Pelodiscus sinensis: one gene and its partner. The protein of the gene in region 1 binds, or shares a complex with, the protein of each later gene. Links are inferred from orthologs where the notes say so. Each region holds a gene or a part of one and is shown in the gene's direction. Other genes may lie near its edges.

Region 1 (7,356 bases):
AATGTGTTGGACAGGTTTAAGTTGGGGGTTGTAGGTGATGACAAGTGGTGTTCTATTGTTGGTTTTCTTGGGTCTGTCTTGAAGTAGATGGTTTCTAGGTATTCGTCTGGTTCTTTCAATTTGCTTTTTTATTTCTCTGGGTGGGTAGTTGAGGTTTATAAATGCTTGGTAGAGATCCTGAAGCTTCTAGTCTCTATCAGTGGGATTAGAGCAGATGCGGTTGTATCGAAGGCCTTGGTTATAGACGATGGATCGTGTGGTGTGTTCTGGATGGGAGCTGGAAGCATGTAGGTAACTGTATGAGTCGGTGGGTTTTCTGTAGAGAGTGGTGTCTAATTTTCCATTGTTGATTTGTACTGTGGTGTCCAGGAAGTGGATCTCTCATGTAGAATGGTCCAGGCTGAGGTTGATGGTGGGGTGTAGGTTGTTGAAATCTCTGTGGAATATCTCCAGTGTTTCTTGGCTATGCGTCCAGATCATAAAGACATCGTCGATGTACCATAGGTAGAGAAGGGGTGAAAGGGGACGGGAGTTGAGGAAACGTTGTTCTAGGTCAGCCATAAAGATGTTAGCATACTGTGGGGCCATGCGTGTACCCATGGCTGTGCCGCTGATCTGGAGGTATAAGTTGTTCTCAAACTGGAAATAATTGTGGGTGAGAACAAAGTTACATAGGTCTGCTATCAGGTTGGCAGTAGTGTCCTCTGGGATAGTGTTTCTAATTGCTTGTAATCGCAATGGCCCCACAGTATGCTAACACTCAGAACACTCAAACAATCTTACCCATTATCAAGATAGCTTCCCCAATTATCACCTCTAATACCATTAACTCACAAACATCCCACTCTCCCCACCTCTAGTATCATCAATTCACAGACACTTACCTTCCTTCCTCTCCCCCCCCTCCTCCCCCAGCATTCCCCTCCTGTTCTGAAATGTGATTTGTCCTTTTCATGTGTCTGTCTGTGTCTGTGTCTACATTGCACCTGAAGCTTGAAATAAGCCACGCAATTTGAGCTTTGCAAATTGCATCGCTTATTTCAAGTCAATTTTGAAATCACTTATTTTGAAATTTGGCAGTTTACACAGTACTTTTCAAAATAAATCACTATTCCAAAATGTCTCTTACTCCTCATGGAATGAGGTTTACAGGGATGTTGGAATAGCGAGCCTGTTAGATTTCAAAATAACGGGTTCACTCAAAAGCCGCAGAATACCTCCGGTATCCTGAAATAGCACTGCAGTGTAGACATAGCGTCTTTCACTTTCTCTAGACTTCAGTGGGAGCTGCTGGAAGCTTGGCACTTTTAAAAATCAAGTGACCTGGATGCCTAAATTACAGGGGGCTCATAAGTGTCCTATAGTTAAAACACCTGCAAACTTTCTATTTAAGAATACAGATGTAAGAATGTAGCTGTGTAAATGTGTAACAATAAGCATGAGCTTATTAGTTACCCAAATGGCTACACCCAGTTCCTGGTCTGGTTCTCAGGATACAGAGGCAGCAGCATGGGACAGCAGGTGGAAGCCAGTACATGTGGGGAGCCAACTTAAAAGCTGGGTCTCGGCACATGCCAGTTCCTAGGGAGCTGGCTGCCCTCCCCTCCATGTAACTGCTGAAATCAGCAGTTACTTGGTTAATCAGTTACACACATTTTAACATCCCTATTTTAAGAGTCACCTTTACAAAACGCTGTGCAATCCACACACCTATGAAGATTGCAATGGAAACTGGTAGACTACTTAAAGGATATGCATAGAATATCTGATGGGAAAATCAGAACAATCTGACAAGTGTCCTAAAGATATAAGTTCTCCAAAACCAGATCTGATTATTAAAATTACTCTGATTCTTTTTACCCTAAAATGTCAAGAGAATGGGAGACTGCAGAGTGTGCATGTAGAAAATCTGGCCTGAATTTCCCGCTTAAATTTCAACAAAGGTGAGAGTTTGGTTTAATAAAACTTATTCTTCAAGAAAGCAAAGTCTCATTCCTGAAAGAGAGAACATGTCGACACTATGAACTTTGGGCTTGAATAAATATACTAGTTAATGCACTACAAAGGCAATTTCCCCCACCTTTTGATATTCTCATTCCCACATCAAATGCTATGAATCGGATAAATAGAGCCTTATTTATTTGGCTTAATTAACACTAGTTCTATAATTGACAAGTAACTGTTTTTGCTGGATTCTGTAATTTCCATTCCAACTCATCTAATGAAGTGCATTTTACCCACAAAATCCTATGACCTAATATAATTGTTAGGCTCTAGGGACAGGTCTACACTAGGAAATTATTTTGAAATAACTATATTTGAAATAAATCCCAAATTAACAAAATCGAAATAGCATGGCCTGAGTTTGGGGAAGCTGCAAAATTAGTCTGAGGCAGGCTCCTTTATTGTGAATGCGCTACCTCAACTTAAGAGTCCCAGGAAGCACTGGGGAGTAATTACTTTGAATTACTTGGGGGAGTGGTCATTTCAAAATAGCAGTGAAGTGTTCACACTAACACTATTTTGAAATAACTATTTCAAAATAAGTGTTATTCCCTGAGGAAAGCAGGAGTTATTTTGAAATAACCAGCCCATTACTTTGAAATAATGGGCTTGGTAGTGTGGATGCTCTGCTTGTTATTTTGAAATAAGGGGAGTTAGGCCAGGACTAAGATGTCACAGGACTGCTTGTTATTTTTAAAAAGTTACAGAATACCATGGCTACCCCCCTGAAACTTTTTAGCTCACAATTGTTTAGGAGGAGCTCAAAGACAGACTGATGAACTGACCTGTCCATAGAGGGCTTGTCACTTGACACTAATGTCCCAGGTAAACAGTGAAGGCACTAGTTTGCCACAGAAATTCTCCAAGGATACTCCCAAGTACAGGCATAAGAATGACCTTAGCAATGAAGGCAAGTCTAGATCAGCTACTGCCTTAGAGCCACAAGCCCTTGAGTTTGGCTCTTCTTCTTACCTGTCTCCTCACCATCCATTTTGCCAACTGACTTAGTCACTTTGCATTGCAAAGTAGTGTGATTACTTTTATCCATATGGCCTCTTTGGACTTACCAGAAAACTATGGGCAGCATTCACATACAAATTATAAACCTGGCATACTTCTGACCATACATGCCTTGGTGCTTTGTGAACAGACTCACAAGGGACTCTGTGGGATTTAAGAGCAAAGATGATGCAGGGATTTAGCCAGGAAAAATGTAACTAGAACCCTGACTTCCACTTCACTCATCACAGCTGATACCCAGCCACATCTGTAGGGCAGGGTACAAATTAGGGAGGTTAAAAATGCAGTTAATTGGGATCAGCGGGGGACTCAGAGCCCCGCTCCCCCTGATCCTGGGCTCCATGCTATGATGCATGCTTCTAGGAGCCCAGGGCCAGCTGGACACTCCCAGCTGGTCCCGGGGCTCTCCTCTGCATTTCTTGGGGCACCCACACCATCCCACCAACTGAGCTAAGTTACACTGAGCTCAATGCAATGGTAGGGTTGCCAGGTTTTGAACCAGACAGTCTGGTATTTGAGCTTTCAGCACAGGAAACAAATTGAGAAAATACTGGACATATAAATGTCTGGTATTTTCTAATTAAGTAAGTTTTATTATTAAAATAAAAATATCAGTATGTAGTTGCATACTGCCTGGACGGTAGACACGCTCAGGCTGTGTAAGCATGTCTACCAGCCAGGCAGTACACAACTACACAGTCGAGAAGAGGAGGGTGGGGGTGGGATAGAATCCCAGACCGGACTTGACAGTGCGCCCTGCCGGACCGTGCACTGGATGGGCAGCACCCCAGGATCTGAGAGCACCTGGGCCAGCCCCACTCCCCACTGGCCAGTCCCCCCACCCCTCACAGCCAGCCCAGCTCCCCACCGGCAGTCCCCCCAGCCTCGCTCCTGGCCAGTCCCACCCCCCATCTGAGATCAACGGTGTCTGGTATTTTTTTGAAATCATCTGGTAACTCTACGTAATGGCGCAGCTGTATCCGCCGCCGCCCCCCCCAACACACAACCGCTGACTCTCGCCTGGGGAAGCTCCAGGCTGCGTGGAGGCAGCGGGCAGATCTCCTGAGCCGCGAGCCCAGCACAGCAGGAGGCGCTGCATCGCCCTGTCTTCAGGAGCGAGATCCCCCCCCCACCACCACTGGGCTCTCTCACGCAAGTTCAACCAGCCCAGCCTATCGCCACTCCCACTACGCACGCGCGGAGGGGGGGGGGGAGAGAAATTATCGCCTCGCGCAGGCGCACAGAGCAACACGCGTTCTCTGTGCATGGTCCAATGGCGGCGCTTGTCCTTACTGCGCATGCTCTGCATGCCGCACAATCAGGCGCTCCCCGGCGGCGGCCGTACGGCGCGCCGTGCCTAGCAGCTGGGGGTGGGGGAGAGTGGCCGCTGCTTCCGTCTCTAGCCGAGCGTGTTGGGAGCCGGGGCCATGGCGGGGGGCCGCCTGTGATCCCCGAAGCGCTGCAGCGGCTGGGGAGGGGAGCGCTATGGCCGGGCGGCGCGGCATGGGCGCGGCCGGCCCCTTGGAGGCGCCGGGCTGCGGGCCCGCGGCGGAGCCGGCCCGGGAGCTGTTCGAGGCCTGCAGGAACGGGGACGTGGAGCGAGTCAAGCGGCTGGTGCGGCCCGAGAACGTGAACAGCAGGGACACGGCGGGCAGGAAGTCCAGCCCCTTGCACTTCGCCGCAGGTACCGAGCTCACGGCTGCTCTGGTGGGCCCGGGCCTGCGTGGGAGCGAGCGCGCTCCGGCTGCCCCGAGGATCCCGCCCTTGGCCCCCTTCGTGTGGCGGGGCTTCGCTAGCTGCCAGTGGCCGGCCGTACGGGCTCCTGGTTCCGCACAGCCTGTCTCCACTGGAGGGGCCGTGTCTGCGCTCTAGTGACGGGCCTTGGGGGTTTCTGCCCTGTCCCCCTTCACTTGTGCCCTCGCCAGCCTGGCGATCCGCCCTGCTTGCCGGGCGCCGAACACCGTTTGGGGGTTGTGAGTTGAAGGGAGGATACGGCCGCTGATTAGGTGGAATAACCTCTGAATAAGGTGCTGGGCCAGGACTGGAGATTTGGGTTCAGGTCTAGGCTGTGTTTCCCAGACGTCCTGTGATCTTTGACAAGTCCTTTGAATCTCGAGTCGTGCTGGTTCCCTTCGTGTAAAACTGAAGTCACTGTTTACAAAAATGTGAGGAGAGACTTTATGTACTATATTGAGTAGGGTATGTAAGTGTCGAGACTGAGAGTTAAGGGAAGAATTACCTTATCTCATGTTGATTTTAAAGTAGTTACTGAAATTTGACAGTTGATCCTCTTGTATCTCTTCAGGAGCAGACCTGGCTATAGGTGAGCTGTCCATATACTTGTGTTGACTCTTTGCTTGCACATGACAACTCATTTTTAGAGATATATGCTCATTCTGGACATGGTACAAAATGTAATAGCCCATTGTTTGCTTAACGTAGGTCATTGTGGATATATAGCCTTGCTGTTCCACTTTTGGTTCAGGTTATCCATTGACAGGGCTTGACAAGTGGCAGCGAGCCCCGCTCGCAAGCTGCATGGTTAATAGATGCCTGCTGAAGGCATTTCTTCTCATATTCATAAGCCTTTGTGGGGTTAGCCATAGTTTTCTGAAATTCTCTTGCAGGATAGCTTGGTTCCAATGGACCTGTGAAACAGTTTATCTGTTAAAGTGAAGCTTATGAACGCATGAGACAACTTTAATAGGCTATGGAACTCCTGATGCTTTCAAAACCTAACGACCAAATTCACTACTTTCAGTGACTTTTTTCCTCAATAAGATCTTGCACCTACAATTGATTGACAAAGTCAAATTCCTTTGTTAGCCTGTCAAGTTGTTTCTACTACAAGCTTGAAAGAGACTTTTCTATTTTAATTATTGAAGGGACACTTGCAGTATAGTCCCTCTAAGTGCCTTCATAAGAATAACCTTTTTCAGTATTGCACAATAGAACTTTCAAGGTCTGAATAACCTTCAAAAAAAATCACACTACTTCTATAGGATTGAATTCCAAATAGAAACAGACATACAGGCAGTCCCCGACTTACGTGGATCCGACTTATGTCGGATCCGCACTTACGAACCGGGCTTTCTCGCCCCGGAGCTCGCCGGCAGCGATCCGCCACCTCGACCTCCGGGGCGAGAAAAGCTGCTCCCGGTGCCCCTGGTCTGCTGGAGACTGTCTCCAGCAGACCAGGGGCACCGGGAGAGAAGCCACAGCAGCGGCCCCAGGGTCCACAACAAAAGCCTGGTCTGCTGGGGGGGGGGGGCACACTAGCTGCGCCCCCCCCCCCAGCAGACCAGGGACATGGGGAGCAAAGCTGCAGCGGCAGCGGGGTGCCGCGCCTCTGAGGCTTTGCCCGAGCAAAGCCTCAGAGGCGCGGGACCCTGACGCTGCTGCGGCTTCGCTCTCGGTGTCTCTGGTCTGCTGGGGACCGTCTCCAGCAGACCAGGGACACCGGGAGCGAAGCCGCAGCCGCGACAGGGTCCCGCGCCTCTGAGGCTTTGCTCGGGCAAAGCCTCAGAGGCGCGGCACCCCGCTGCCGCTGCAGCTTTGCTCCCGGTGTCCCTGGTCTGCTGGGGGGGGGGGGGGGGGCGCAGCTAGTGTGCCCCCCCCCCCCCAGCAGACCAGGATTTTGTTGTGGACCCTGGGGCAGAGCAGCTGGAGCGCTGCCGATTGGTCCTGCAGCGCCGCTCTGGGCACTACTGGACCAACGCAGCAGCACCCCAGCTGCTCTGCCCCAGGCATCCTGATTCAGCCGCTGCTGAAACTGACCAGCACTGACTACAGGAAGCCCGAGGCAGAGTTGCTCTGCCCCAGGCTTCCTGTAGTCAGTGCTGGTCAGTTTCAGCAGCGGCTGACTTGGGGACGCTTGGGGTTCTTAAGTTGAATCTGTATGTAAGTCAGAACTGGCGGTCAGTTTCAGCAGTGGCTGAATCTGGATGCCAGTTCCGACTTACATACAGATTCAACTTAAGAACAAACCTACAGTCCCTATCTTGTACGTAACCCGGGGACTGCCTGTATTTGAGGTGGTGTGTGCGCAGTTACATAGCAAAGATATTGGCAGTAGTGGGTTCCATATTCCTCCCTTTGCTTTCTGAATACAGTTACTAATGTCTCCCTTCCTAAAACTTCAGGATCTTTCTGGCAGACACAAAGACTTGTTAGCCTCTCCTGAAAAGATATATATCTGCCTTCCCTTGGATGGAACTTTTCTATTATGAATGGAAAATGAAAAAAGAGTACAGTTGTAGCAAACTTTTTGTTGTTGTTCCATTATGTGAATAAGTGATACTTTGTCTTCTAACTCTGGAGGATTACCAGATT
Region 2 (6,825 bases), on another chromosome or scaffold:
GAGTGGCTTTCGTGGCCTCGTCTTGGTCACCATTGTTTCTCCGGGTCCTCATAAGGATCCTGAACCTGTTCTTGTGCAAGAATCACCTGAGCACCCAGGCACACCTTCCCCATAGCCACCAGCATCTTGAATGTCTAGTGTTTTTGGGGACATCAGGGAATCGCCGCTTCATTTACATTTACATGGCTGCCGCGCTGAGCCGACAAACAGCTGATCAGCTGTTTGTCAGCTCAGCGTGATAGTCTGGACGCTCCCCTGCCGACATCAAAGGTATTTGTCGACCACCCAGGTATGCTTCATTTTACTATGTGTGGTACCCTAATCTACATGCCTCTGTCGCCAGAGGCATGTAGTCTAGATGTACCCTATGATAAGTTTTGTACAAAGTATCCCTTTTGAGGTGTCATATGAAACCTCGTCATTTGCTGATCATTATTGATCTAATAAAATATGTGTGGAAACAATGCATGTAAAGTTCATAAGATTCTTTGTATGCTACTACTAGACATGTTCCATGTCTGGGGGAGCAGCCACAGACCAGTTTCCAGAGATAAGACGCTTATCGGTGCCTCAGCCAGGTGTCAGTAAAATCAAATAGACCATCTCCTGGTTAAGTGACATTTCTTTGGCAGGAAAAAGGATGTGGATAAAGATCTGCATCTCGTCGGAGATTTCTGTCCACATGGACTTGCTGTCTCCTGAACCTCAGTAGAAGATGATTCTCAAAGAAGAGAAAGGGAAGAGGCACTCCAAATTGTTCCTCCCTTTCTCTCTGCCCATTCATAATGCCTGAAGAACAAAGGAAACAACTTTGGACCAGGGGAGGGAACCTAGACTGAAAGGAGAGAGTTGGACAGTACAAAATGCATATTTTTGGGATGGAGAATTTGCTGGTGTTGCTTTTCAGTGTTATTCAAGTGTGTGTGGCAGCAGCACTCATATACCCTAATGGAGAATGACTTGCACATTGGAAACTGTGTGGGAACAGACCAGGAGTTGTAACCAGCAGGGTAATTGGTATCTGTGGTTGGAGAACTGAAGGGACGCAGGCATTCGTCAGTCCAGATTATATCCTGGGTAATGTCATACTTAACAAAACCTCACCGTGGGAGGTAGGTAACATTTGGACTAATAAGTGTAGATACATTAAAAACTTGCTTTCAAGGTTCTGCCTCAGCTATACTCACCCTTGGGATTGTGAAGAGGTTTCAGATACTCTCCGCCACCCTTGCTTCTTACTTACTACTAACTGTGGGGAGGGGTTCCAGGCAAAGTGGAAGGAGGACTTCAGGTGGTGTCCTGGTATGGAAAAGGGTTGAGAACTGCTTTCCTACCCAATACCAACCCTTTCTGTATCTCAGCCTAGATCTAATCTAGATCCTTCTTCTACAGCCTTTCTTCTTTTTTAAGCCATGCACCTAATCATATTGTTCATAGCCTCCTTCTTTTTCCATATCATTCCTTGTGCTTGGAAACTCTTCCATCCCCAACACTGACTCATGTGTTTTTAAAACACACATCTTCCTTGAAGGCTGCCTATTCTGATCCACCAAAATAAGTAAAGTATGCAGCACATAGCATATGCTTCTTAAACATCTTGTCCCCACCACTGTGAACTGTGCTAATCATCTATTGTATTATGTGGTTTAACTGTGCTTTTTATCCTGTGGCGTTGCCTAACTCAGACTGGTTAATATGGATTTTTTGCATCTTTATCACATAAGACCGCTAGGTTAGGGATGTTAAATTTAATTAAACTAATTGACTAGATGATGGAATTTCCATCGACTAGTCCATTAGATGATAAGACAGGGAGCCGCAGTGGGGTTAGCTCCTGGCCCTGGGAACTTACCCTGCTGCGGCTTTGTCTTTTAAATGTATTATTTGCTGGCAGGCTGAAGCAAAACGGGGGGAACCCAGTGCAAGCTGGGAATCAGCTGTCCTGGCTCGCGCCGGATGTCTCCTTCCCTCCAGCTGCACTTCTGCTTTTTAAATGTATTAAGAGCCAGCTCTTAATACATTTAGAAAGCAGAGGAGCAGTGTACTGGGACTGGGTACAAGCCAGGAATCAGCTGATTTCCAGCTCATGCCTGGTCCCCGCTAGCCCTCTGCTTCCCATGTCCTCCTGCAGAGACGGTGCTGGAGGATCTGACTTTTAAGATGGCTCTCCCCAGCACCCCATTCCTGCTGCCTCTGATACAGGCAGCAAGGGGCAGGAGGAAGAGACTAGTCAAGGGAAGTTGCTACATCAGGTGAGGGGGCTATAACTGTGTATGCTAGTGGTATTATTATATACCATCATTGTCAGATAGCCCTTATATTGTAGAATTTTGTCTTTATGTTGTAAGATCCTTTAGGCAGAGTTTTGTCTTCCTTTGTGCTTTGTATAAGGTGAAATATGGTGATCGTATTAAGGCATTCCTTCTATTATAAAGGGTGAACTTTCTGCAGTCATTTTGTGAGTATTTAACTAGGGATGTTAAATTTAGTTTAATCAACCAATCGACTCGTCAATAGATTTTCAATTGACTAGTCAATTAGTTGATAAGTGGGGAGCTGCAGCGGGGCTAGCTACTGGCTCGGGAGCTTACCCTGCTGCGGCTCTGCCTTTTAAATCAGTGGTCTCCAACCAGTCCATCGGGATCTACTGGTAGATCTTGGAGCCTCTGACAGGTGATCCTGACTGGTTTGGCCAAGAGGCTATCAGGTGCTGAAACTTCAGCTGCCTCTTCCCACACTGCTGCATATCTCCTGCCCTTTGCTTTGGAGCTGTCCCCTCAGGAGCCTCCTGCTTGCTGTGCAGGGAAGGGGAGGGAAGGGAGTGGAATGGAGGGCGCTGATGTCAAGGTGCTTTCAACCACCCTTTATTCTATCTCCACAGAGCAGAGTGGGGGCACAAAAGGTCTTGGGATGGAGTTTGATGCTGCTTTTGGGAGTGGTGCAGGGCCAGGGCAGGGGTGGATCTGCCTTAGCCACACTGCACCACCACCCAGGAGCCACCTGAGGTAAGCAGTGCCCAGCTGGAGCCCACATCTTGAACCCCTACCATAGCCATAAACCCTCTCCTGCACCCCAAGGCCCTACCCTCGCTCCGAGTACCCCTACATCCAAACACCTACCCAGAGCCTGCACCTACAACCCCCTCTGACACCCCAATTGCCTGCCCCAAGCTCAGATCAGAATCCCTCTCACATGCTAAATCCCTTAATCCAAGACCAGAACCTGCACCCCAAAGTGTTGCCCCAGCCTGGGGAAAGTGAGGGAGAATGGGGGAGGGAGTAAGCAGGGGCAGGTCCTCAGAGAAGGAGTGCAAAGGAGGCAGGGCAAGGTTGTTTGGGTATGAGGCAGATCTTGGATTGCACTTAAATTAAAGAAGTGATCTCGTTCTTAAAAAGGTTGGAGACCACTGCTTTTAAATGGATTAAGAGCCTATTGGCTCTTAATCAATTTAAAAGGCTAATGTGCAGCACAAGGGACCCAGCGTGAGCTCTTAATACATTTAAAAGGCTGGTGCACAGCTCTTTTAATACACTTAAAAAGCAGAGGTGCATCTGGGACTAGGTGTGAGTCTGGAATCAGCTGATTCCCACTACGCCTCTGCCCCCAACAGAGATGGTGCTGGCGGAGAACTGGCTTTTAAGCCGGTTCCACCAGCACTGGCTCCTGCTCCCCCCACCTCTTGCTGCCACCCTGCCCTTTGTTGCAGCAAGGGTAGTGGTGGGGGAGTCACTAGTCGACTGTCTGACAAACAAAAGCTTATCGGATAGTTGACTAGTTGCTTACATCCCTATCTTTAACAAGATGGCTGTTTTTAGTTCCTTTGGGGAATATTAGAGAGAAATATTTAATCCATTTCCTGTATTATAAATCAACATCATTTGAAACATTTGCTGTTCTGTAAGCAGTAAGCAATGGTTCTGAATCATGCTTCCACAGGATTGTAAACTCAAGCATGCAATCTCCCTCCACCCTTCCTCTTTTGAATCCTCCACTTCATGATGAAAAAAATATAAAAACAGCTGTAGTAGTGGAATCTCCCCCTTTGTGGCTAGTGGGCTGCCACTGGTTGAGACTTTTGTGAGTTTCATTTTACTAGCTCTCTGGCGAATCAGGAGGTTTGTGATACAGATATGCTACCCAATGACCCCTGGGAACAGGAAGCAACACACATTCACATTGTGAACAAAAAAGGAAACAACTCATTGCTGAGGCGTGACGGCGTCCCACTTGACAGCATGGAAGGGTCAGGACAGAGTTTTTTCTCCGCCTTTTAATAAGAAACCTGAAGCTACAGCAGCAACAATCAGTGATATTTAATCTATAGGTGCACACTAGGGGGAGATATGCTGACTTCCTTACCTGAGGGGGATTATAAATGGCTAATGGCTTCATACGTACAAAGGAAACGCTCATTCGGTGCCACGTTCAGTAAGAAAACTATGTGTCAGTCAGATTTTGTCACCAGGTTAGTATGAATTTGTAGTTTGTTAATCTAGATTCTTTATCTCTAGAACGAGTAAACTAATATTACATCCTGAAAAGAATCCTCTTTTGTTCCTGACTTTTCTGTGTGAATTAAGAATGAATCAACAATCTTCATTTAAAGAAAGGGGAGGGGGCTGAATGGGGAAGGAAGGCAGTTTAGTGAAATGTAAAGCTAGTCAAGTCACTATGTGCATAGTAAACTTGTTCATAATTGAATGCTTTGCAGTGGGGTTTAGTCTTAGTCTCGCTCTTCCCAAAATACTGACCAGACTCCACAGTGTTGCCAGTATCAATAAGTGGTCTTTCTGAGGGAACTGTTGTTGAAAATGGAGGCAAGAAAGGGATCAACTGGACAAAAATATATTTTGTCTATCTGTCTTTTATTGGAACTTTCATTTGGAAATGGATTGACTTAGTGGAAGAATATCTGAGGTCTCTAAAAAGTTAGAAATTCCAGTTTTAGGAACAGAAAGTAAATGTGTGTCTTGCTGACGCTGAAATGGTAGAATTTGTTCTGATGCGCTTTAGAATATGCTGCTGCTTTTCTTTCTGCTCTTTCCAGCCTGGTTGAGTGTATAGTGTTATCTCACTCTGGGAAAGGCCACCTGTGAAAGATGGACATTTCAATAGTCCTTCCCTCCATCTTAATTTACTGCAACATTTCTTTTGTTGTATGATTTGTACTTTCAAAAGCTTTCTCCACTGAGATCTCCCTTTTCATGGGTGTATTGTCAAGATGGGACTTAAAGATGAAATGCTACAGTACATATGATATTATGGCACTTTTAAAAATTCTCAAACATAAAGTGTCTGACACTTCTGAGCTCAAGTTTAATGTTTTGTGCAAAAAGAGTAAATTAATAGGATATTACTTCCTGAAAAGAATCCTCTTTTCTTCTTGACTCTATGTGAATTAAGGATGGATCAATCTTCATTTAAAAAAAAAAAACAAAAAAGTCGGGGGATGATGGGGAAGGAAGGCACTTTGGTGAAATTAAAAGCAAGTCACTATGTGCACAGTAAACTTGTTCATAATTGAATGCTTTGTAGTGGTATTCAATTCCCAGTCTCTTTCATCTCTTAATACTGACTTGACAATGTGTAGTTTATTAGTGTAACTTGGAAAGGCTATTTTTCATTTGCTACGGTCCTCTATGTTTAACAACACAGGGTGCAAATAGTATCACAGAAAGCTAAGACATCCAATATAACATAGGGTTGGTAAAAGCTTAGAGATAAAAATAACATGATTTTTTTAGGCCTGAATCGTGCAAGACATTAAGTCGAAACTGCAAGGTGCAAGTTGCCTCAATTCCAGTTGATTTCAGTTGGAATTAAGGGCATGCAATGTCATGCAGGATGAAGTTGTTAATTGTTAATCTGTATTTAGTCTGGATGTTTTTGCACCATTAACATATTTTTAGATTAATAGATTTTAAGGCCAAAAGAGTCTTTTCATTTACAATACACACCTGATTTTGAAGGTAAAATTGCTTTCATTTTATGTAATTCTAAACACATAACTGAATCTAACTGCATTTTAAATTAATGAAGGAATGGGATTTCATTTCTCGATAAGATTTAGATAATTGATTTGAGCACCCCCATCAGATGCAGACATCTGCAATTTTTCTGCAGTTATTTCATTAACCAAAGGCCATTATACCAAGACTGAAAACCTCTCTACACCGTCATATTGAAGTGGTATTACCAAGAGGGCAACATAAATAGTGTGTGAAAGGAATCTGCCTTCGGCTGACTGTATGCCGTTATTTGCAATGCTGTTGTTGATCCCAGGGTATTAGAAAGACAAGGTAGATGAGGTAATATGTTGGACAAATGTCTGTTGCTGTAGCTAGAAAGAGACAAGCTTTCTAGCTACACAGAGCTCTTCCTTAGGCATTAGAAAGGTATTCAATGTCATTGTCGTAGCTAAATATAAGGTGGAACAGATTTTTGAGCAGTAGTAGTAAAAGCCCTTTTATCCAGCACTTTACCAACCAGCAAGCACAATAAACTAGCATTTCTGATCTGCACAGAAAGTCTTATTTATAGTGCATTTGGTGTGGGACAAGCAAGGAAGTTTGGATCTTGGAGTAGGGGTTGTGAAGTGGGAGGGCTTAGGATGCTGGATAGAAGGACGTGCACCTCTGGCAGCCCTCTCAATTGGTTCCCAGTCCCCGCTGTTGCTGGTGGAGGTGAAGGATGGATTTGGAGTGCGGAGCATGGAAAGGACTGTGGGGAAAGGGGATGGGAGCACAGGCTCTGGGGGGTGGCAGCTTGGTGCCTGGTGTTGGGAAACAGAAGGGACTTGGGGTGCTGAATAGGGGGACACTCTCT

The links. Proteins that work in one complex are often made in the same cells at the same time.
Region 2: the proteins of TNKS2 (region 1) and SH3BP2 are in contact, whole or in part, in a crystal structure (PDB 3TWR), measured with the Homo sapiens proteins. The link is inferred for Pelodiscus sinensis from reciprocal best matches to the Homo sapiens genes TNKS2 and SH3BP2. Residues at the interface, in NP_079511.1 of Homo sapiens: Arg525, Ser527, His531, Phe532, Gly535, Tyr536, Asn537, Arg538, Leu560, Asn565, Ser568, Tyr569, His571, Asp589, Trp591, Phe593, Glu598, Lys604; in NP_001116153.1 of Homo sapiens: Leu413, Gln414, Arg415, Ser416, Pro417, Pro418, Asp419, Gly420, Gln421, Ser422, Arg424.

The regions. Positions count from the first base shown.
Region 1 is NC_134718.1:40,946,191-40,953,546, forward strand, and holds the start of TNKS2 (poly [ADP-ribose] polymerase tankyrase-2), read left to right. Parts: upstream 1-4,342; 5' UTR 4,343-4,509; coding exon 4,510-4,708; intron 4,709-7,356. UniProt on the Homo sapiens protein: Poly-ADP-ribosyltransferase involved in various processes such as Wnt signaling pathway, telomere length and vesicle trafficking.
Region 2 is NC_134715.1:117,061,394-117,068,218, reverse strand, and holds the start of SH3BP2 (SH3 domain-binding protein 2), read left to right. Parts: upstream 1-3,808; 5' UTR 3,809-4,343; coding exon 4,344-4,465; intron 4,466-6,825. UniProt on the Homo sapiens protein: Binds differentially to the SH3 domains of certain proteins of signal transduction pathways. Binds to phosphatidylinositols; linking the hemopoietic tyrosine kinase fes to the cytoplasmic membrane in a phosphorylation dependent mechanism.